Kluyveromyces lactis: one gene and its partners. The protein of the gene in region 2 interacts with the protein of the main gene of each other region in a pairwise test. Links are inferred from orthologs where the notes say so. Each region holds a gene or a part of one and is shown on either strand. Other genes may lie near its edges. The genes, in order: SGT2, SEC22, MDY2, SEC20, VAM3 and GET3.

What was found.
Region 1: the proteins of SEC22 (region 2) and SGT2 interact in binary tests that used the Saccharomyces cerevisiae proteins (3 or more experiments, as listed by UniProt). The link is inferred for Kluyveromyces lactis from reciprocal best matches to the Saccharomyces cerevisiae genes SEC22 and SGT2.
Region 3: the proteins of SEC22 (region 2) and MDY2 interact in binary tests that used the Saccharomyces cerevisiae proteins (3 or more experiments, as listed by UniProt). The link is inferred for Kluyveromyces lactis from reciprocal best matches to the Saccharomyces cerevisiae genes SEC22 and MDY2.
Region 4: the proteins of SEC22 (region 2) and SEC20 interact in binary tests that used the Saccharomyces cerevisiae proteins (3 or more experiments, as listed by UniProt). The link is inferred for Kluyveromyces lactis from reciprocal best matches to the Saccharomyces cerevisiae genes SEC22 and SEC20.
Region 5: the proteins of SEC22 (region 2) and VAM3 interact in a two-hybrid assay, tested with the Saccharomyces cerevisiae proteins (2 studies listed by BioGRID). The link is inferred for Kluyveromyces lactis from reciprocal best matches to the Saccharomyces cerevisiae genes SEC22 and VAM3.
Region 6: the proteins of SEC22 (region 2) and GET3 interact in binary tests that used the Saccharomyces cerevisiae proteins (3 or more experiments, as listed by UniProt). The link is inferred for Kluyveromyces lactis from reciprocal best matches to the Saccharomyces cerevisiae genes SEC22 and GET3.

The regions. Positions count from the first base shown.
Region 1 is NC_006040.1:103,785-107,388, forward strand, and holds SGT2 (Sgt2p), read right to left. Parts: upstream 2,071-3,604; coding exon 1,063-2,070; downstream 1-1,062. Other genes in the region: KLLA0_D01133g (uncharacterized protein), read left to right, coding at 1-999; ALG6 (dolichyl-P-Glc:Man(9)GlcNAc(2)-PP-dolichol alpha-1,3-glucosyltransferase), read right to left, coding at 2,952-3,604. UniProt on the Saccharomyces cerevisiae protein: Co-chaperone that binds to the molecular chaperone Hsp70 (SSA1 and SSA2). Regulates Hsp70 ATPase activity. Required for recovery from heat shock.
Region 2 is NC_006042.1:1,884,830-1,887,897, forward strand, and holds SEC22 (SNAP receptor SEC22), read right to left. Parts: upstream 1,544-3,068; coding exon 899-1,543; downstream 1-898. Other genes in the region: KLLA0_F20229g (uncharacterized protein), read right to left, coding at 1-566; polyphosphatase DDP1, read left to right, coding at 2,085-2,624; protein GET4, read right to left, coding at 2,667-3,068. UniProt on the Saccharomyces cerevisiae protein: Nonessential SNARE involved in targeting and fusion of ER-derived transport vesicles with the Golgi complex as well as Golgi-derived retrograde transport vesicles with the ER.
Region 3 is NC_006037.1:674,333-677,378, reverse strand, and holds MDY2 (Mdy2p), read left to right. Parts: upstream 1-1,574; coding exon 1,575-2,210; downstream 2,211-3,046. Other genes in the region: TGL4 (triacylglycerol lipase), read right to left, coding at 1-312; SHR5 (Shr5p), read right to left, coding at 571-1,347; Rab GTPase-activating protein MSB3, read right to left, coding at 2,322-3,046. UniProt on the Saccharomyces cerevisiae protein: Required for efficient mating. Involved in the production of alpha-factor, the KAR9 and TUB1 location to the shmoo tip and nuclear migration into pheromone-induced shmoos.
Region 4 is NC_006039.1:1,042,257-1,046,073, reverse strand, and holds SEC20 (Sec20p), read right to left. Parts: upstream 1,729-3,817; coding exon 640-1,728; downstream 1-639. Other genes in the region: NDJ1 (Ndj1p), read left to right, coding at 2,227-3,213; ERG24 (delta(14)-sterol reductase), read left to right, coding at 3,588-3,817. UniProt on the Saccharomyces cerevisiae protein: SNARE required for targeting and fusion of Golgi-derived retrograde transport vesicles with the ER.
Region 5 is NC_006039.1:1,128,148-1,131,615, forward strand, and holds VAM3 (SNAP receptor VAM3), read right to left. Parts: upstream 1,662-3,468; coding exon 873-1,661; downstream 1-872. Other genes in the region: MET4 (Met4p), read left to right, coding at 1-721; DNA-directed DNA polymerase alpha catalytic subunit POL1, read left to right, coding at 2,182-3,468. UniProt on the Saccharomyces cerevisiae protein: Required for vacuolar assembly. Provides the t-SNARE function in a late step of the vacuolar assembly. Required for homotypic vacuole membrane fusion, autophagy and fusion of biosynthetic transport vesicles with the vacuole.
Region 6 is NC_006041.1:142,800-146,516, reverse strand, and holds GET3 (guanine nucleotide exchange factor GET3), read right to left. Parts: upstream 1,751-3,717; coding exon 701-1,750; downstream 1-700. Other genes in the region: ATG16 (Atg16p), read left to right, coding at 1-248; BUG1 (Bug1p), read left to right, coding at 2,304-3,260; MRPS8 (mitochondrial 37S ribosomal protein uS8m), read right to left, coding at 3,593-3,717. UniProt on the Saccharomyces cerevisiae protein: ATPase required for the post-translational delivery of tail-anchored (TA) proteins to the endoplasmic reticulum. Recognizes and selectively binds the transmembrane domain of TA proteins in the cytosol.

The DNA of each region.
Region 1 (3,604 bases), on a different chromosome or scaffold from region 2:
TCTGAGGGAATATTCAAGAAATATTCATTGGACTTGATACAATACTATCTTCGTTATTTGAAGATTATGTACCCATGCAGCTTTCACCCAGTTCAACTTCTTACTAACGAGCTGAGACTTTTAGGAATATATGGGGTTCCCGGCGTCCTGAGATTGCAAAGTTATCATACATTCAAAAAGCTTGATATGCTCTTTAGTTATGTCAATACCCGTGGTAAGTTATGGTTAGGTAAAGATGAAGAAGAACTGAAAGTGTTATTAGACGTTCCTACACCCTACTTATCTGAGTCGGAACGGTTCATAAAGTTAGAACCGGAGGAGATAAACGGCATTCAAACTTTCTTGAAATACAACCTAGCTGAGTTTCAGAAGCTGAGAAATTGTTTGATTATTTTGAAGAAACTTGCGATAGTACAACAAATCAAACACAGAGATGTCATAACGATGCGAAACTCTTTCCTATCTTTGGGGAACCAAATGTCGCAAAAAGGTGTAGCAAAAAGTTTTGAAAATACAAACTGCGCTTGGTCTTATGATCTTTCATATTATGAGTTTACTCGAAACTTGGAATATCTAGAGCACTCTGTTGTCACTTTACTTAATAACTTTGAGTCTCTTCTCGCAAAGACAACTTTATGGTGGAAACATTTTGGTGAATTAATGGAACTGAAGAAAGAGTGGAAGAAAAATTTCCCAAATGACAAGGCGCCTCCTTCTTCAGCAAACAGAAATTTTATAGATACCTACATTGAAGGTAAAAGGTCTAAATTTAGGAATAAGTTATCCAATCAACTGAAAATGAGCTCTTTGAACCTTAAGAAAATTGGCGGTGAAATCAAAACAACACATGAATCGATCGCAGTGGGGATAAATCTATTCATCGAATTCAAAGAGCAGTTTTACCACGATCATATCGTTAAATCCATAGTTGATCAAAGAATCAGGGAAAATAAACAAATCATGCAACAATTGATTGATACCATGAAAGGGCATGTTTAACTAGTCATATATAGATCAAATATATACAGTCAAAAAGGACAAGCAAAAGTTTGGGTATACTGGTTATTGCTGGCTGCCGTTGCCGCCACCAAACATGTTTTTGGCCATGTCTCTAATAGATGGGTCATTCATCATTTGACTCAAATCTGGCATGCCGCCACCAGATGAGAATTGGTTGGCCATTTGCTTCATTGCTGGATTGGACATCATATCCTGCATTAGACCTGGATTTTGCATCATCTTTTCAGCGGCTTGCATAACTTGAGGGTTGTTTAGCAGTGCTCCTAAACCACCGCCTAGACCGCCACCACCTAACAAGCTTGAAAGATCTGGTAAGCCACCAGCGCCTGCACCAGGACCTTCAGTCGCAGATTTGTCAGAAACATCTTCAGAAGAAGCGCTGGTAGAGCTCTTCTCTAAGTTCATTGAGGTTTCTACCTTCTTCTTGGCAGTTTCGTAATCTCTTTTCATAACGTCAGTAGCTTTTTCCCCTTCGATATCTAGGACCTTCTTGTAAGCATCTAAAGCTTCTTCAGGCTTATTCAAAGCATACTTCGCAAATCCAAGTCTAGAAAAACCCTTAGAATATGTAGGATCAACTTCAATAGCTTGCTCGGCGTCCTTAACGGCCTGTTCGTACTGCTTCAAAGAAGAATAAGCTGCAGCCCTGTTCGAGTAGTAAACAGCGTTAGATGGAGAAACTTCGATAGCAGCAGTGTATTTTTCAATAGCCTCATCAAATTTCTTAGCAGCCATGGCCTTGTTACCCTGTAGCTTTAATTCTTCAGCCTTGGCCTTAGCTGCTGCATCTTCAACTGGAATATGAACCTTCACTGGTTCACCAGAAACGCCTCCAGAAGAGGGAGCTGAGGCTAATAGTTCAGGTAATTTCTTGCCATTAAAAGGACCAGAGATTAAAGAATCAGTCTCATCTCTTTCAAATTGGAAGGCCTCAGTGATACAGTCGATGGCAACATTCAACGAATCAACATAGTCTTCGTTTACTGAAGAAGACGATGATGACAAAAAGTCAACAATCAAAGCAGCAATTTCCTTATTAGATAGGGACATTCGGATTTTCTAAACTTTTGACAGTGCTTTAAGATGAAATAAGGATCACAAACCGCTGTATACGATAAGATGAAGCAGTAACAAAGGACGAGTCAATGATAACTCTTCTTTGAAAGTACATAAAATCCAGGCAACTTGTCATTTAAGCACTATTATAATAAACTTTTTCCTGAATGTGAATGGCGAAAAAATGATAAGTACGGAAAAACCTTCGGTTAGAGAAGGCAACAGAAGACGAAAGATTCACAGAGACACGTCAATTTCACATCGTTAGCATTTTTAAGCTGACTCGTGCCGTCTTAATTGAGAAGTAGTGATATTTGATAGAAGCTACTAATAGTTTGGAACCATCAACCATGGAAAGGAAGTTCAAAGAGTTGCTGGCTCCTTGAAAGAAGGAAAAAGTTAATCAAAAACAAAATCTTCCCCGCCAGGACTCGAACCTGGAATCTTCTGGTTTCAGAAGTAGCTAACATCGTAGCCAGACGCCGTGACCATTGGGCCACGAGGAATAAGATTTCGTGACGGTTACTACTTTTCGTTCTATATAACAGCTACAACAGATCATATGATACTTTTAAAGTAATATTCAGACTTTACCTATTTAGTGAGTATGCCGTTACACAAATACGGTGCATCCAGCATGGAGAGTTTTACTATATTGAATTTCATTACGAAGAATTGTTTTTCTCATTTACGAGTCTTATACTGGTGCTTTTTGTCTTTGTTTATTTTTGATCGAAACTGACATTCGATATATGAATACTAATTAAAGTGTAAGTAGAATCCTAAATGATTAAACAGAGGAGTGAAATATATATCCCGGTTTTGCTCTTGCAAGGTACGCCCCGTATCATTACTGCTATTATAAATTTTAACATCTATAAATCTTGCAAAGTGCTGTTTCTCATTTCGAATAATTTATAATTGTTCCATATCCAAAATGTCACAAAACATGAGAAGCCCAAGGAACAATTGGCAAGCACCCATAAATCAGGGTATTTTGATGGCGGGGAGACGTAATAGTCTAGAAAATGAATAATCCCCATTGCAATATATGAGCCAACAATGATTAATCTCCATATTAGGCTCTTGGGTAGTAAACTTGCCCGTCTATAATCAACATCTATATCACTGATGGATGGCCCTGGTGTCAAAAATTTTGGGAGGAAGCGTGGTGTGACGAAACTGAAGTTACCGATCAACCAATTGCTAAACATGAACATGACTCCATATTGCAATACTAGATTGTCCTTTTTCAGTAATGGCCAGAGTGTAAACAATGCCACGTTGTTAATCCAACAAACCAATGATAGAACATTCCAATCTCTTGACGTGTACAAGAGTGTAATAGGAAGTAAAGGTAATAAGATTGTCTTTTCATGAACCTGGAAGCTGAATAAGAAGAATGACATCGAACATGCGGCCAAAGCATATGGTAGTAAATGTCTCTTCGGGTATAAAAATGTTATAATGAATGATGGTAAAAGCCCAATAACTGTTGCGAGTAATGAGTATAATTGAAGATCCTTCT
Region 2 (3,068 bases):
AAGCCGTCTTTGGGGCTCTCTTGGTCGAAGTACTTGAACACGACCCTGTCACTCTCTGCTCCGTTATACAAGATGTTCTGAACCCATTGCAACCTACCGTTATTGACCATATCATCCACATAAGGCTTCACGATACGCTTATATATCTCTGGGGTTTCCCTCACCATATGGCACAACTGCTTATCGTACTTCTCGATATGAACCTGTGTGGCAGGCCATATCAAGTTGATCTTTGCCGTGGGGTTTAACTCCAAGTCCTGCTTCATCACAGACATCCCCCAGAAATAAATGTCGTTATTTGCTATTGGTTTCAACGTCTGAATGGAATTCATACAAGAATATTCAGATTCACATTGGTGCAACGACAACGTAGACGAATTGGGATTGTTCACCACTTTATCAAACTGGAAGTGTGTCTTCTCTAGAGTCACGATAGCATCCTGACCCTTAATCGTACCTAATAATGAAATTTGCTTGGTTTGCGGATTAGAGTTCAAGACCCTGCTAAATCGAAACTCATCGATCAAAGCTCTGAAATCAACGGCATCTGCATCATTGTCTCCCATATTGTCTATTCACGAGTACTACAATAACCTCAATGTATCTATCGTGTTGTATACCGACTTGTAAACTCTATTTTACTTTACTTTCTTACATGATATTTCCCTCTTCCCTTAAGGAAGATCATCTGCTTTTTAAAGGTTTTTCATGTTGAGAAAAGAATCGTTCAAGTGCAAAAAGGCGTATTGATGATGATGAGACATACGTTAGTCAGGGCACATTCAGAGCAATACTGAGCCAATATTTGTACATTTTTTTGCTGAAGTTTATACAGGGTGGAATTATATACATATTTAAGTGTACATAAGTGTATCGATACTTCTGTACAGCGAATACTTCATCTTAAGAACATCCACCACAATAAGAATACGAAAAAGAATGCTATGATCGCAATTGGCGCGTACTGGCTAATCAATAGGTCGAAGTTGATCTTTTGTGCGGAGGCTCTGTACTTTTTAGCGTCTTGTCTTAGGGACGCACTCATATCACTCATCTTATCCAAGGAATCACCTCTGTACAATAGATCTTCGATGTTTTTTGTCATGATTTGTTTGACACCTTTTAGATCCTGATTCAATTGGTCCATGTTCCCCTGTACTCTTTTGTCGTTGTAAACTTTCTTGGTCTTTTGTAAGAAGTTGTCGAAGGATACGAACTCATACGGTCTAACGTTCGATTTCGAGAGTTGTCCCCCGTAACTGTGTTCGAATTCTTGTTGTATATCTGCCAAGTATGAGAATGCCAAATTACGTGGATAGTTCCTTTCTGCGACCACAATATAGACCACGGTGTTCAATCTGATATAATGGATCTCGAAATCACCACTTTCCACTGTAGCCTCGTTTGCTGACGTCGGAGTGAATCTTGATATTAGGATCTTCACCTTCTTCTTTTGCTCTTGTAAACTGGGATCAGTGTCATCATCCACTGAGGCACACAATGGTAACCCATCTTCTCTGAAAATCAACGTAGAACGAATCATGCCCGTGCCTATTGCCTTGTAAATCACTTGCTAAAACTGAAAGATCGTTCAGTGCTTGGTACAGGGCAATACGTTTTCTAATTTGCTGAAGTTTCATTCATTAGTGATGGAAACTTGGTTTTGATTCGATTGATTTCATTCCATGTTGAAAAGACGAGTTTAAATCGAATAACGTGGACAAATACAAGGCTAAAAAGTGGGAGTATGAACCCCATACTGACTAGCATGGTGCCCTAACCATATGAGGGCTACGAGAATGGAAGAACGTATCTGCCAGAGACGGTTTCCCAGCTGTTTCTTCTGTGGTGTTGCGCTTAATGATTCGGTCCTAACACGTATTATTTAATAATTACCCTGAAACAAGAGTCTCTGTCAGATTCACAATTGAACCACCGATCAACGTGTATTTCATACGTGGCCGCACGTTCATGTATCCTTCAAACTGACCACAGCTGGTAAGTCACAGCTATGTGTCTTGTGTACCCTGTTGATGAAATCGGTCTGAGAAACAGTCTATATATATAGTATTAAGGAACCGAAGATGTCAGACTTTATCAAGACCGACACCTCAAGAGTAGGACGTGAGAATCAGTTGTATTCAAGTGTCACTGGTGCTAGACTCGTTGCAGGATGTATAATACTGGATGAAAGCCGAGAGAATGTCTTAATGGTCCAGTCATCCGCTCATAAGAAGAGATGGGTGTTGCCAAAGGGTGGTATTGAAAGTGATGAACCTGACTTTGAGTCCGCTGCAAGAAGAGAGACCTGGGAAGAAGCTGGTGCCACAGGCGATATAGTGAAAGCACTTGGTTCCATTGAGGATATGAGACCTCCAAAGGACTGGAACCCAGATTTGGAAGCATTCGAGAGTTCGAATGACGAAACTGTTAACAAATGGCCTCCCAGGTCCGAATTCCATTTCTTCGAGATGATTAATGTTAAATTGGAGGACAATTATCCTGAAGTGAAGACAAGAAACCGTCAATGGTTCTCCTACGAACAGGCCAAAGAAAACTTGACCCGTGCCAAGAGGCCAGAGCTCATTGAGGCTCTGAATAGAAGTAGCATCAAGAAAAGTTAGCATTATATATAACATAGAGTATGTTTATACCGAAGACTATTATTATTTACCTCCAAAGAAACCAGACATCATATCTTGCAAGAAGTTGATTGGTTTCTCGACCTTGATACCGAAGTATTCTTGGCCCAAGAATTGTAGCTCAGAGTTGTATTTGTTGGCAAGAGTTGAGTATTGTGATTTTAGATTCTGGAAAAGAATAGTTTCTTGAGTTTGACATGCGATTATTAACAACTGTAAAAAGTTCAACGATTCCCACGATGAGAAATAATCAATCTTATATGGGCCTTTCTCTGTTAACTCAAATTTTACATCTGTCTTGTGATTGGTAAACCGTTTTAAAAGTTCTTTAGATCCCTCCAATGCATATTCGATATTGAAGATGAACAAATAGTTGAATATCATTCTTGATATGAAATCGGGGAAACTGGAGTCCTCACCGGATTG
Region 3 (3,046 bases), on a different chromosome or scaffold from region 2:
ATTTGTAATATCGTCTAGCTTCGTTGCCGCCGCAAGCCATTCCTGTAAAGATCTCGCATTCTGTTTCTGCTCTATGAGACGAGCTATTTGTTCATGAGTACTATCGGCTCCCCTAATAAATTTGTAAAAGCTATTGCACAGCGAGGAGAAAAAGTTCAACTGCGGTTCATCTTGTCCAGAATCATTGCGACTCTGTTCTTCTGTCATTTCGGCGCCCTTATTGGCCCTCTTGTAGTAGTTCTTAATGACATAACTAGTAATCGGGTCATCTTTAATATCAGTCACGCTGGGCGTGTTCATGACATTCGGCATTCTAAAATATAAGTAATATCCCGCTCAGCAGGTTTGTGTGTATGCAACAGAGCAAAGCGTATGTAAGCTTATTATCTGATGCTATGCTTCGTGCCCTTTATAGGTTGATTAGACCACATCAACAGAATCCTTTCAAGCAAATCAGTCATGTGGTGGTTATTAAAGTGTCATTCTTTGCTTTGTTTCCTTTGCATGTTTCCTTAAAGGTTTCAACGCCGTCAACAGTGATTGGGCATCGGTGTTACAACATCAAGCTGGTTAAAGAAGGACGATAAGGGTGTCACAATGGGTTAGTAAGGGTTCATTTATGGCTGTGCATGGTTTAATCCATGCTGGGCTATCTATACATACCGATAGATATGAGCTTTCTCGGGGCGGAATGATCTTTATGCCCTTCAATCTGAACGATTCCGATCGATTGATTTCCGAGACATAGTCTTCAACTGATTGCAACGGGTTAACGAACAGGTATGGCTCGATGATACTCCATAAGTTCAGTGTCAAGAGGTCCAATATGACGTTGACAAAATTTCTTCTGGTTATTGGGTTGTATGCAGCCTCTAAGAGTGAATTGATTCGAGTTACAATTTCAGTCCATTCCGCTTGATCCAAATAGTTTGATAATGGGCTCACTGACGTTTCGCCATACCATTGGCCTTCAAACTCTCCTGCCGGAACGAACTCCTTGTTGTGAGTATCTGGTAAGGCTGCTGGTTCAGACCCAGGTAACTGTGTGCTGAAATTAGGAAATTCTGTGGATGACTCAAACCTTCTGGGAATTCGAACGACTCTAGTGGTTCTAAATTCATCGCTTTCTTCAGGTACGTATATGTTTGGAAAATGGGTGATGCAGATTGGATTCTCAGGTCCATGCTCTTCGCATGATTCCTCATCTAGTGCTCTGTACTTTGTAATCACAAATTCATGGTAATTGAAGAATTTCGGTTGTTGTGCAGAAGTTGATTCTTCAACGGTAATCGCAGCTTTAGATAGATCTGAACTGTCTGCAGTATCTGCCAGTACCAGTGATACCATTTGTGTTGCAATGTTACCTGGTAGAATGCCGTTTCTACCTCTTATTTCCCGTATTGATCTGATATCGTTCGTGTTTTTACCCTTTTATGTAGGAATTGAAATAAATTTAACGGAATTGATATTTATGTTCAGATTAACACTAACACAAGTTAGACATCTAATGAAGAGATGTATAAGGGAGTATAAGGAACTAAACTACTACAATATCGCACATCCCACCTCCAATCATGTCTGAACTTGATTTCGTTGGTAAATTTTTGAGTTTGGCCGCTTTGAATGAGCCAAAACTTGCATCGAACTACCGCAAACCATTACATGAAGTTACAAACCTTGGTGTTTCGTTGCCCCCATTGAGGTACAAATATGATCCAAGTAAATCACATTCTAAGAGTATCTCTAAAGTTGTAGAAGTTACCATCAAATCGATCAAAGCGCCTAAATTTGTTCATTCCAAAAGCTTCGAATCTACCGATACCGTGGGTCAGATCAAGGAATTCTTAGTGGAAACCGAGCCTGAGATATATACAACTGGTCAAATCAAGTTGTTGTTAAAGGGTAAAGTCCTCCACGACACTCAATTGGTCTCCGATTTGAACCAGGATAAAATATCCCTTGTCGCAATGGTTTCCAAAGCAGAGAAACCTGTGGAAACAGCACCTTTGCCGAAACCAGCGCAGGAACCTGAACCTGAACTTGAGTTGATGGATGTCGATATGGAGGATCCACAGTTGGATCTTTCATCTCAAACAGATATTGATTTGCCTTGGGATAAAATTAGAACCGTTTTAGAGAGTAGCTTGGATGCTAGCACGGCCTCAGTGGCCCTTGGAAGGCTACAGAAAGGTTGGGAGTTGAGTAAGTAAAAGATAGAACATGTCATTTGTTGGTCCATAATGCAAAACAACCCGGTTATATATGTAGTGATTTTATACTTTTAGATATTTCTGCTCTTTCTTCCATTGGTGATGAGAGAATTACCTCTTTCTGCTCAATCTACGTACTCTTTCTTTGATGTTATTATTCCAATTTACCCCATTTAAACCCTTCTTGAATCCGTATCCTTCGTTAGAAAAGGTTTCATTGATCAGTTCCTGTGCCAATTTGGAGTCTCTCTTATTATTGGAGTTGGTGGTTTCATTCTTCATTACATCTTGGAAGTTCTTGTATTTGGCTCTTTGAGAGATAACGTACTTCTTACATCGTTCGATTTCCTCTTGATTGAGTGCATTGAATCTCAATCTCCTCTTGAAGATGGCTTTGTCTATAATATCGTTGGGGTTTATCAACCGTCTAGGGTATGTTTGAATAGCTTGGAATAATTCCATGTCTTCATCGTCTGAGTTTCGGCTGCTAACGTGATTTAATTTTGGTAAATTGGTCTCGCTTAGTTCGATGATCGCTAACGACATCTTGAAAAGAATGTGTGAACCCTCATAGAAGAGACAATCCCATATACGTAAGGTAGCTTCAATAGGTACTACTCCTATGAAACAGCTCATGAACCAACTGGCAGTACAGAGTGTGACTGGTGGCAACTTATAGAGAAATTCGTTCTTATTGGATAGGCCGGGACTGTGTTGTTGATCTTTATTGGAATATATTCTTTGCCAAAAGTGTGGCAGATACTCTTTTATGCATAGTAAAAGCACACCTTGGTTAATATTGACACCTTCCAGGTTAATACTATGCACTCCTGGTA
Region 4 (3,817 bases), on a different chromosome or scaffold from region 2:
AACGCACTATATTTAAATGGTTTTTTCTTGCAGAGAAAAACAAAGAAAAATTCAGGCACAAACAAGACTGTAGAGGAAATAGCGGAAGACGAAACATAGATACTGAAAAGAGAAAGGTATCCATGTTTGATGTTTATCCAACTCGCAGGGGGAAAAACTACATCGTCGGTCTCGAAGAGTTCGTTCCTTGTACGCCTTTCCTTACCACGACAAGAAGGAGATACGAACCACGTCAAATCTAGATAATGAAATTGCTATTAACTAAACTTAAATGCATTTAACCTAACGAAGGCAGTTTAGCCTTTTTACCGAATTGCGCTATCGGCGAAAAGCCTATTTTAGTTTCGGCGAGATTTTTACCTCAGTTATTTGTTGCTTTTCGAGAAAATGTGCAGAATGATTTCCCTTTTCGGCGATACCACGGTGCATGTTCGGCGAAAATTTTTCAGGTATTCCCTTTGTTTAGACACCTTCGTACGGTATGGAATATTTTCTTCTCCAGAACGACATGTGAAAACAAAACACAAATACACAAGCACATGTAATGGCTCGAAATTAAACAAATCACGTGATTGGAACTCTAATTGCTTCTGGATTTTCAACGGGCTCTTACTATTTCCCTAGATTACTGTTTTCCTTTCATAACTCGTCCATTAGCTTATCGAAACTATCGCTGATTGCTTGAGATACATCTAGAGATGATGTGAGTTCTGTTTCTGTTTGTGACAATACCTCCTTCAGAAGACTTGTTGAGGAGGAAGCTTGGTCTAAAATAGTATCTGTCACTGAGGAAATTGCAGAAACCACTGTGGAGCTGGAAGAAGCTTGATTTGGGGACACAGAACTTTTCACTATCCCTACAGTGTATAGTAGCGATTTGAAGAATTTGAAACATAGCCAGAAGGTAAATTTAACTGGATATTTGAATATTCTTCTCCATAGAACCCACATTATACAACCACAGAAAAATGCAATTGCGGCGTACACTTTTTGTTTCTCTTGATAGCTGCTGTTGTTAATGGCTTTAATGAGTTTTGTTGAAGCCTGTGACATTGCCTTGAACCTGTCAAACTTATCATTCACTAACATTAAGGTATCCGTCTGTTGTTTCAACTCATCGATATTCAATTCGCTCTGTAACACGCTGCTACGTAAGATTTGGTTCGTACGAAGTAGATTAGACGTGATTTTCTTGTTTACTTGTAACGTCTTACCCTTGATATTAGTGGCTGTATTCGGTAGCTGTATGCCGTTTGTGCTTCCGTCACGATCTATCTCTGACCTGTTCAAATCAGAATCAATGGAAGTTGTACTGCCTCTACGTTCCATGAGTTTACTTTGCAACGCATCGCTCAACGTTTCCTTGAGCATCATACGTGATTCAATTAAAGAAACCTCGTATTTCTCTATTAGCTCTTTCCTAAAATCAACATTTTTCACTAGTTCATTGACTTGTTCGATCCATTGTTCATCATGCTTATCGACTCCGCTCGGTTCTCTCTCTATCGTGAATTTTGGCTCGTATCGTATTCTCACACCATATTTCAGTTCAATTATCCGCTGAAAGCTACGGATCATATCTTCAAACGTAAGCAATTCACTCACAACCTTATCATCAAGGTCTTCATTGGTGTTAGAACTTTGTTCTTCCCTGAATAAACTCTCATAAAACAAAGAGTGCAAGAGATTTCTTTTAGCTTCTAATGATTCTCCAGATACTAACATCATTGCTTATCTTCTTATTTTCTATGTGATTATACCATAAAGATGTCGGATGCTTTTCAGGTTCAAAACCTTTACGACAACTTTTCTGTTGCTGCTGCCGTTACTGCTATTGTTGAAATTGTTATTGGTAAATATCAAGTATTGATCTTTTTTAGACTGAAGGATATGTTTGGTTACCCGGATACGTGACAATGGCGCTAGCCTTGATTTATGGAGCACTTGTAATACCGACCCTAAAGCGAGTTAGTTGATTTTAAAACACGCATTCCAATGACACCTTTAACTTGATGTAGGTAGAAATGCAATACTATAAAAGTATCTTTAATTAAGGTTTACAGTTGAGCTTTTTTCATCATTCAATCTTTATATGGGAATTTAGCAGTTTAAAATTCAGGTCAAAGACAAAAAAATAGAAAAAATGTCAGTAAGTATTTATCATCTTCATTTCAACAATCAGTAAAATATAAAGAAATCTATCTTAAAAACCCAAACCAATTCGAAATGAGCGAATTAGACGAGTTTTATGACTGTAGTAACAATGAGGAGACAGTTTGTTATGTTAATTTGTCTTTATTTAAAGGATCCCATCTGATTGCGGACAATTTTGATCCAGAAAGGATATTGCCGCCGAGCTCATTTATCAAAACTTTGAGAACTAGGCTTGCTAGGGAGTCAAGAAATTATAGTCTACTAGTTTGGTTGTTAAATTGTCCAAATATAACCTTAACTCAACGATCGGAACATCAAAAAGAACCATTTCAAGTATTCGAACCACGCCAGAATCGACTTTATCAGCATTATTTGAATATACGACCATTTTCTTATGCTGATGAAAATATTTCAATGGATGCAACGTTGGTGTCAAGTGAATCTCATTGGCCGGATCACTACTCCTATGAGTGCTCAATATTTCCTCGCCTGTTACAAAAGACCAATTACGACCATTTTCAAATGAACAGATTATGTGAAGAGTATCGGCAACAGTTCATTAAAATCATGGAAAATTTCGAAGCTCAAAAACCAAGACATCCTAAATATGCCCAGATTTATCTTCAGCAAAATCTTGGGCTATTGACAAGGGCATACATTCGGGACTTATTCTATGATATTACATTCAAATATTCTGCTTGGTCAAATGCCAAGCGGCTGACAAGAGTGGAGCTTTTGAGGTCTTTACAAAGATATCATAAGGAGTACACCTTCATCATGAGCTGTGATCCGATTGATAATTTCACTGAAAAATTGGACCATTTAACTTGCTTAAATTATGCTTCAAAAGATGAGGTGAATGCCAAACTAACTTACGGAATTTGGATAAATGCAGAGCATGGACTTATACTTCTATGTAACGGTATCGCCCATAGCTGGGACCTTTTACAGATCCCTAGCCATAGCTATCAGAATGACGATAATATTACATTATTTGTGACAAAATATATGCTATTCTGCAATATGAGCGTTCTTGAAACCTGTTTGTGGTTTTTTTAGGTTAATGACATGCCGAGTATCCAGAAAATATAACATTTTTAGTGGATGAACCTGTAATAGCTCGTTTACTGTTCCGACACTGCCAAGGGAGACCTCGCTTATCATTTCAGTGATGACATACCTTACTTCTAATGGAGGTTAGCAATAGAAAAAAACCGGATTAGAGGATTGCCCAATGGTGCGTGTTAAGTAAGCGGTTTACATTCTCAAATAGAACCCTTGCATGTGTTCGTCGTTTAGCAATTTTCGTATTCAAGCATGAACCTTAAAAAAAAGAATAGTATAAAGTAGCGAAAAGTACAGAATTAAGAGAAAGAAGGCTAAATCACTTTTGCATTTAGTATATATTATTATTATAATGCGCTGAATACCCAATGTCCTTAGCAACAATGACAGCTTTAAATCCTAAGACCACTCATTATGAGTTTTCTGGACCGGTCGGAGCCCTTCTGATTTCAGTTTTCTTACCCATTCTAACTGTCATCTTGAACCAGTTGATCAGACCCGACTATCATATCGTAGGGCTATTCAGAAACTTTAGCTGGATCGAAGTTTGGAACAAGGTAAATCCATTATCCAGTTATCTCTTCAATGGTGAGCTTTG
Region 5 (3,468 bases), on a different chromosome or scaffold from region 2:
TCAAAGCTCCGTTGGCATGCTATTGGATTTTTTGCATGAAAAACCTGAGCCATCTCCTCAATCAAGTGTCCATAAACCTAATCCAAAAAGAGCCAAAAAAACTCCAGTGGAAAAAGAGTCTAGAGTTATTGATACATATATGAAAAACTCACCGAAAGTGCACCACGGCTCAATTTCTAACAACATAAAGAAAGAAAGCGAAGAGAATTCTGCAAAGCAAACACTGGATGATGGTATCAGTAAAACACCAAAATCAGTTGTCAGGAAACTAGAATCAGCTTCCTCTCTTAGGAAGGATGTAACGTCTGCTAAATTGAAGGAAGAGGTGAGACAATCGGAAGAACTTCTCAATGACAAGGAAAATGCTGCTAAGAGTCTCGATGAGAAGATAAACGAAAAAAAGCATAATACTGATTCTGATAAAAACAATTCCTCCAGTGATGGTGTAGAATCGTCGTCCACTTCCTCAACCCTTTCTTCAAGACCCAAACTGCCGAACTTGGATCAAACTAAAAAACTTAAAGAGAAAGAAATGGAAACTTGGGTCCAAGATCTTTCACAGTTAGCTTGTGACTTGAAGCAAAGAATCAATACCCTTGAAATGGAAAACAGACTTCTCAAAAATCTTGTCATTGAACGTGGAGATCTCAAGAATGTTGAGTCTTATGAACTATCCAAAAATAACTCCTCCGAAAGCACTAAAAAGGATACTGACAAGTAAGCTATGATTAATAATTAGTTGTAACCTCTAAGTCGGACATATTTACCTGATGATGCGTGTTCTCTAAAACGTAACGTAACTTTCATCCAAGTATAAGGCCAGAGATAAATTTTGTATTAATATATAGTTACATTCCTCGTAGAATCTAACCCTATGATAGAATCGCGATAAGAGTTATTAGAGTGATAACAACAATAGCTACTAGAAGTATTGTACCACATCTGTTCTTTTTCCTTTGATATTCATTTGCTTTGTGAAGTTCTTTGTTCGCCTTTTGCAAATTATTAGATAATCCTGTCACATTTTCGCCAATTGTGTCAACTTGTTCGCCCTGTTCCTGTACCAGACTTCCTAGTTGTTTGAAGATGGCATTGACCTCTTGCACAGCAGAGTGGATTTTTGATATGTCCTGGGATCTTTCATGTTGAATTATCGTGTGAAAATCTAACTCATCCTGATTCAACAAAGGCTCTTGCTGTTGGGTAGACAAAAGTAACGGAGTATCCTCTGAAGAATGATCCCTCCTCTCGATATCGTCTTGTATTGGCATGCTTTCATATTGCGATACGAGATGTTCCGATTCATTATCTTTACTCTCTTCGTCAGGTATGGGATTCTGTACTGCCCTATTCTCATAATCGGTCTTTACACTGTTATATTGTTTGCTTAACGCTTGAAAATCTCGAGCAAATTTATCTTGTGTATCTAGCGAAGTTAAGTCAGCCAGTTTTCGACTAATTTTCTGGATTTCGGGGATTACTCTATTTTTTATATCAACCCTCAATAGTTGTCCGTCCTTGCTTGTCCCTATTAGATGAGCTTTACGCTTGAGTAATTGAATATTCTGTTCTAGTGTTATCAACAAAGGCACCGCATCGTTTCCACTAGAATCTGCACGATTGTCCTCCTTTTTTGGAGTACTATTTTGATAAAAGGACATCAGATGTAACGCGATTATCTTTACGGGTCCTGCTATCAGCTGTTTCCTTAACAGTTATCCTTCCCTTCAGTTAATGATCACAAACCTCAATTTGAGCACTTTAAAATTGAGGACAGTCTTAAACCACAGGTCATGTGATCCATTTTTCTTTCCAAGCCAACGCCAATTGGTTCAACTAATGGAAATTCGTATCATAATATTGAGGAGCGCACACTCTCTAACACTTCAGCGGCTTCACCGTTTAACCACTCAAGTGTTGTCGGTATTCTACTGTCACTCAATCTTTCGCTCGCTTTTCTTCTCATGCACTCTCGCTTTGTCTCAGCGTTGGTGCCATTAAGTTCATAGATTTCGAACGCGTGCTTTGCAGATAGATACAACTTTAAAAAAAAAAAGAACGCGTAAAAGTAAGAACATCTTCATCATCTTCTTCTTGCAACTCAAACCAGGAAAGACAACAAAACTAAATTACTAGGGTAGTTCGTACTGCCACCCTACACTATTAAAACACTAGCTCGGGATGAGTAATGCGAACAAACTTGAACTGCTCAAAAAATTGCAGAAAGCTAGGAATAATAAATCGAATAGGGATGTGCTAGATGAACAACTGGAAGAAGAAAATGTGTATGACTTGATTGACGAGGATCAATATAGGAGTAAGAAAAGACAAGAGTTGTTAAGAGATGATTTTGTTGAAGATGATGATGGCAGTGGATATGTGGATCGTGGTGTAGATGAATGGGATCAAAGTCAGGAGTTCTACTCTGATGAAGACGATGGTGTTGATGCAAAGTCAGGCAAAAAGCGTAATAAGACCAGTAAGAATAACAAAGGTAAGGATACCATCAGCGATATCATAAAGCAACAAAATGTCAAGAGAAAAATGACAATGCCAACAGAAAAACCTAAGAAAGTGTCACTTGCTGAATTTGATGATATTTTGAGTGAATTTGACGCAGAGCCTCTGGTTAAGAAGCCGAAGCTAACGATATCCAGAAAACAACCTGCAAATACTACGCCTATGAACTATAAACACCCTCAGGTAGATACATCCCCACTTAAAGGTAAAGATGTTGTACCTTTTAAAGCTGATAGCGTTAATCCTATCGATTGTGATTCAATGGAAGAGGACCACGATATTGAATCATTATTAAACGATGTGGCTAGTTCTCCTTCAATGAGCAAGCAGAAGACATATCAAAGCGAAGATGACAGTGAAGATGACGAAGATGATATTCACTTTGGTAGAAAAAAATTCAAATCAATAGCTACTCAAAGGCAGATGAATATCAGCGCTCAAACAGCACCATTAACGTCTTCGCCAACATATGTCACTGCTCCTAACACCCCATTGTCAACTTCTACAGGGTCCACACAAGCAACAGAATCAATTTCCGGATCACTGAGACAAAGAATACCTAAAGAGGATGTAGTAGACGCTGAGACCGGTAGTTTTAACTTTTTTTGGACTGATTTTACCGAAGTCAACTCTTCTTTGATTCTCTTTGGTAAAGTTAAAACGAGAAAGAATCAAGTAGTCTCTGCAATGGCGCAAATCAATGGTTTCAATAGAGAGCTGTATTTTCTACCTAAGGAGGGTAAAACAGCGTCTGATGTCCACCAAGAAATTGTACCTCTATTATTGGATAAATATGGCTTACAATCACTTCGCGCTAAGCCTGAAACGAAAAAGTATGCCTTTGAACTTCCAGGAATACCACACGAAGCGGAGTATTTGAAGGTTTTGTTACCTTATGATACTCCTAAATGCAAGTCAATTACTATTCCCGCTGAACTTGAGGGAGAT
Region 6 (3,717 bases), on a different chromosome or scaffold from region 2:
ACAGCATAAAGAATCTAAGGGAACATCTTACGGAAAAGGAAGAGGAAATAAGGCAACTACATGATGTTATTAGTGTAAAAAATCGAGATGCTGAGCGTTTGAATGACGAATTGATCAGCATCAACATAGAAAACAATCTTTTACAGGAAAGGTTGACACACATTCAAGCAGAATATGACACCTTGATTGAACGATGGTTACTAAAAGCACAAAGAGAGGCCGATATCATGAATACGAGACTTAAATAGATATGACATACTCTATATGCCTCAAGTTATAAATGAGTTGCGAGTTTTATAAGTGATTTGAAGTTAATTCCCTGCGACTCAATGGTACATCAAATCCCAAGTGCATGAAACTCTTTAAAAATTCAGTTTTCCAAGAAATTTGCTTCAGTAGCTCAGTCGGAAGAGCGTCAGTCTCATAATCTGAAGGTCGAGAGTTCGAACCTCCCCTGGAGCATTTCAATTTACCAAAATTTTTTTAGCTTTCGGATCTTTTCGTTTACTATCACGAAGCCTGAAGTAATAATGTTTTCATGTTGCAACTAAAGTAGATGTTTAATGCTACATTATAGAGGCTAATTCGATGCAATGATTCAATTTAGAATCTGCTCTGCAATTATTTAGTGTACAAATAATAAAAAATTATAGATTGGCCGTGTAATGCTAGGTATCAATGATTCATATTTATCTTCCTTTCAGTCTTGTTGTTCCAATTCATAAATCACTTTGCTGTCTGCAACTGGATCGTATGGTTTTCTCAAGAATTGGGAGAATTTTTTCAAGTTGTTTAAACCTCTAATTTCACCTGCACACAATGGCATCTTAACGATATGGAAATCTTCGTACAATTCATCAATTTGGTCCAAATACTTCTTTTGCATCTTCCATCTGGATTGGCACCTTTTACAGCTGTCTCCTTCGTCATACTCAGCAAATAATAACTGGTTTACAATGATGGAGTTCACGTCCATATCGTATGAGATCAATTCCTGTACCAATCTTTCAGTTTCGTACAAAGACAAGAACTCACTGATACAAACACAGACAAAAGTTGTCATATCAGGATTGGTGAATTGTTCCTTGATTTTTTCCACATTAGACTTCAATTCACTCATTTTACCAACAAGATCGACGTTATTGGCACCAGCCAAAGAATTCAACATTGGTCCCAATCTTGCAGTGATTTCTCCGAATTTCTCCAAGAGTTTAGATAGAGTGCTTGGTAACTGTAAAAACCTTAGAGTGTGACCTGTTGGTGCGGTATCAAAAATAACGGTATCATACCTGTCACCTTCACCCTGTTCTTGGTTTTTGATGTGTTTCATCACTTCCATGAAAGAAAGTGCCTCATCAATACCTGGAATCGATCCTGTCAATTCAGATAGTGCACCACCTTGCAAAAGATCACTGAACTCTCCCGATCCAGTTGCATTATTGGCAACAGCCATATCATTCATATCCTTCAAAGCGGCAGAAGGGTCAATCTCCATACATGACAAGTTGTTCATCCCAGTGACTTTTCTTGCATCTTTACCAAACTTCTCACCGAAGGCGTCGCTTAAATTGTGTGCAGGATCTGTAGAAATCAATAGATATTGTTTCTCTGGTTGTGCCAAAGCCATTTGAATGGCAATCGAACAAGATGACGTCGTCTTACCGACACCACCCTTACCACCGACAAATATCCATCTGTGTGTTGAGGAAGTTATCAAAGAGTTTAGATCTGGTTCAACTGTTAAATCCATTGTACTTTTCCGCTTTACTTGGTCTCAGGTTTACACACTTACTGATTGTTATTCCTACAGTTGAAATAAGAGGGCGTCTTAGTTGTAAAACTTCTGTTTATCTACGCATGTCGCCACTAAAAGTGACAACAAATGCTAAATATCTTGCTGAAGACTTCTTCTACGTTCTTTTAAAGAACACGTCACTATATACGGTGGTGATAATAATTTGATATTTACCAATCGCATACCGAATAATAAAGAACATGGTACAAATACTTTGAGTTTGCTTCTCAAAAAGTCTTGAATCTTGTTCTCTTTCGAACCTAAATGGCTTTGAAACATTGTGAAATTAAACGATATTATTTGATCGATGTTTGCCTCAATGATGGTGATTCCTTTCTTATTAAATATGTGTGAACCATAACGACACGTTTAGATCAAAAAAAAAAGTTGCCCCATATGAAATAAGAATTTACATGGTGAATGCCAAATCTGAAACAATTGCGAGCTAAATATTAAAACCAATTGGCGTCTTCAATGCAAGTGAGTACACACATTCGAACAGTTGATTATGTCTGAACTATCCCCCGAGGAAGAAAGAGCCAGAAAGCTCGAAGAAGCCAAGATAAGGGTTGAAGAGTTAAAGAAGAAGAATAAAAACAAGAAGAATAAGAAGAAGAAGGACAAGGAAGATCTTGAAGCAGCTGAAGTCAAAACTGAAACTGAAACTGAATTGGAACCGACTGATACTAATGTATCAGAGAGTCCGGTTCATTCAGATGAACAACCAATCGTGGAAGAGACAAAAGCTGAAGAAAAGGCTGAGATAAATGCTGATGCAAAGGGCAATGACAACAACGAAGAGAAGTTTGAAAAGGAGTCTGTGGAGAAGTCTGAAAAAGAGTCTGCGGAGAACAAGAAAGACTCCGAGGAGGAAGTCCTCGAGAAGGAAGCAACTGATATACCCAACCCAACCGAGGAAGTGTCTAAAGAAGCTTTTGCAGTTCAACAAAAAGAGGAAGAACCAATAGAGGCAAAAAGTACAGATGAAGTTGAAGAATTGTTTGGCGGGAATGATGATAAAGAGAAAGATTTCCTTTCGACGATACAAGAACAGAAAAGCCAAGATGAAGTAATAAACCTCAAGGAAGAAGTTTCAAAGCTAAAAGATCAAGTAAAGCAATTGAAGTTTGTCAACATAGATCAAGAAAGCTCCATAGAAGAGCTTGAAGAACAGATAAACATCATGAAATCTCAACTCAATGATAAAACTGTACAATTGCTGTCCGCTCAGCAGGAGCTATCTACGTCTAGACAAGAAGTAGAGCAGCTTAGAGCAACACAATCACCACAACTAACCCCTGTGGAATTCTCTTCCTTTGATAGACATTCTCCATCCAAATTCGAGCCATCGAGACAGATTCAGCATCCAACGACAGACCCTGTTATGTTAGCTAAGTGGAAGAACTGGAATGTCGATATGACAAATTGGAGATCAGTTGGTGTTGGCCCAGTTGTGGAATTTTAAGTAAGTTTCAGCCTTGTTACTATTACCACAGAGCTATGATTTTTTTATGATTTGTCTCATTTGTCTCGTTTAGGCAAATATAATGCTATAATGTACAAGTATACAATTATATTAGTGTATGTATAAAACTGATATTTGACACGATTGATGATTGTCGCTAAAAGGAAAATCGCACTGATTGAATGTTACTATATACATGGAATATGAGGTGGATTTCCTTTTGATGATATTGGAAGTTTCGATGGTCCATCACACATGTTGATGAAATATTCTGCACTTTGTTTTTGATTATATGACTAATGGTCTTTATTGCTGGGAATTTTACTGATGATTCACCTAATTCTGCATAGCACTTCACCACCGACTTTCTTGGCGATAGCATCATCGATATCCATAATTTCATTCCCAGATTTCACTAAAATTAATTCACCAGGAGCCAAAGGTTTGATCAATCTGA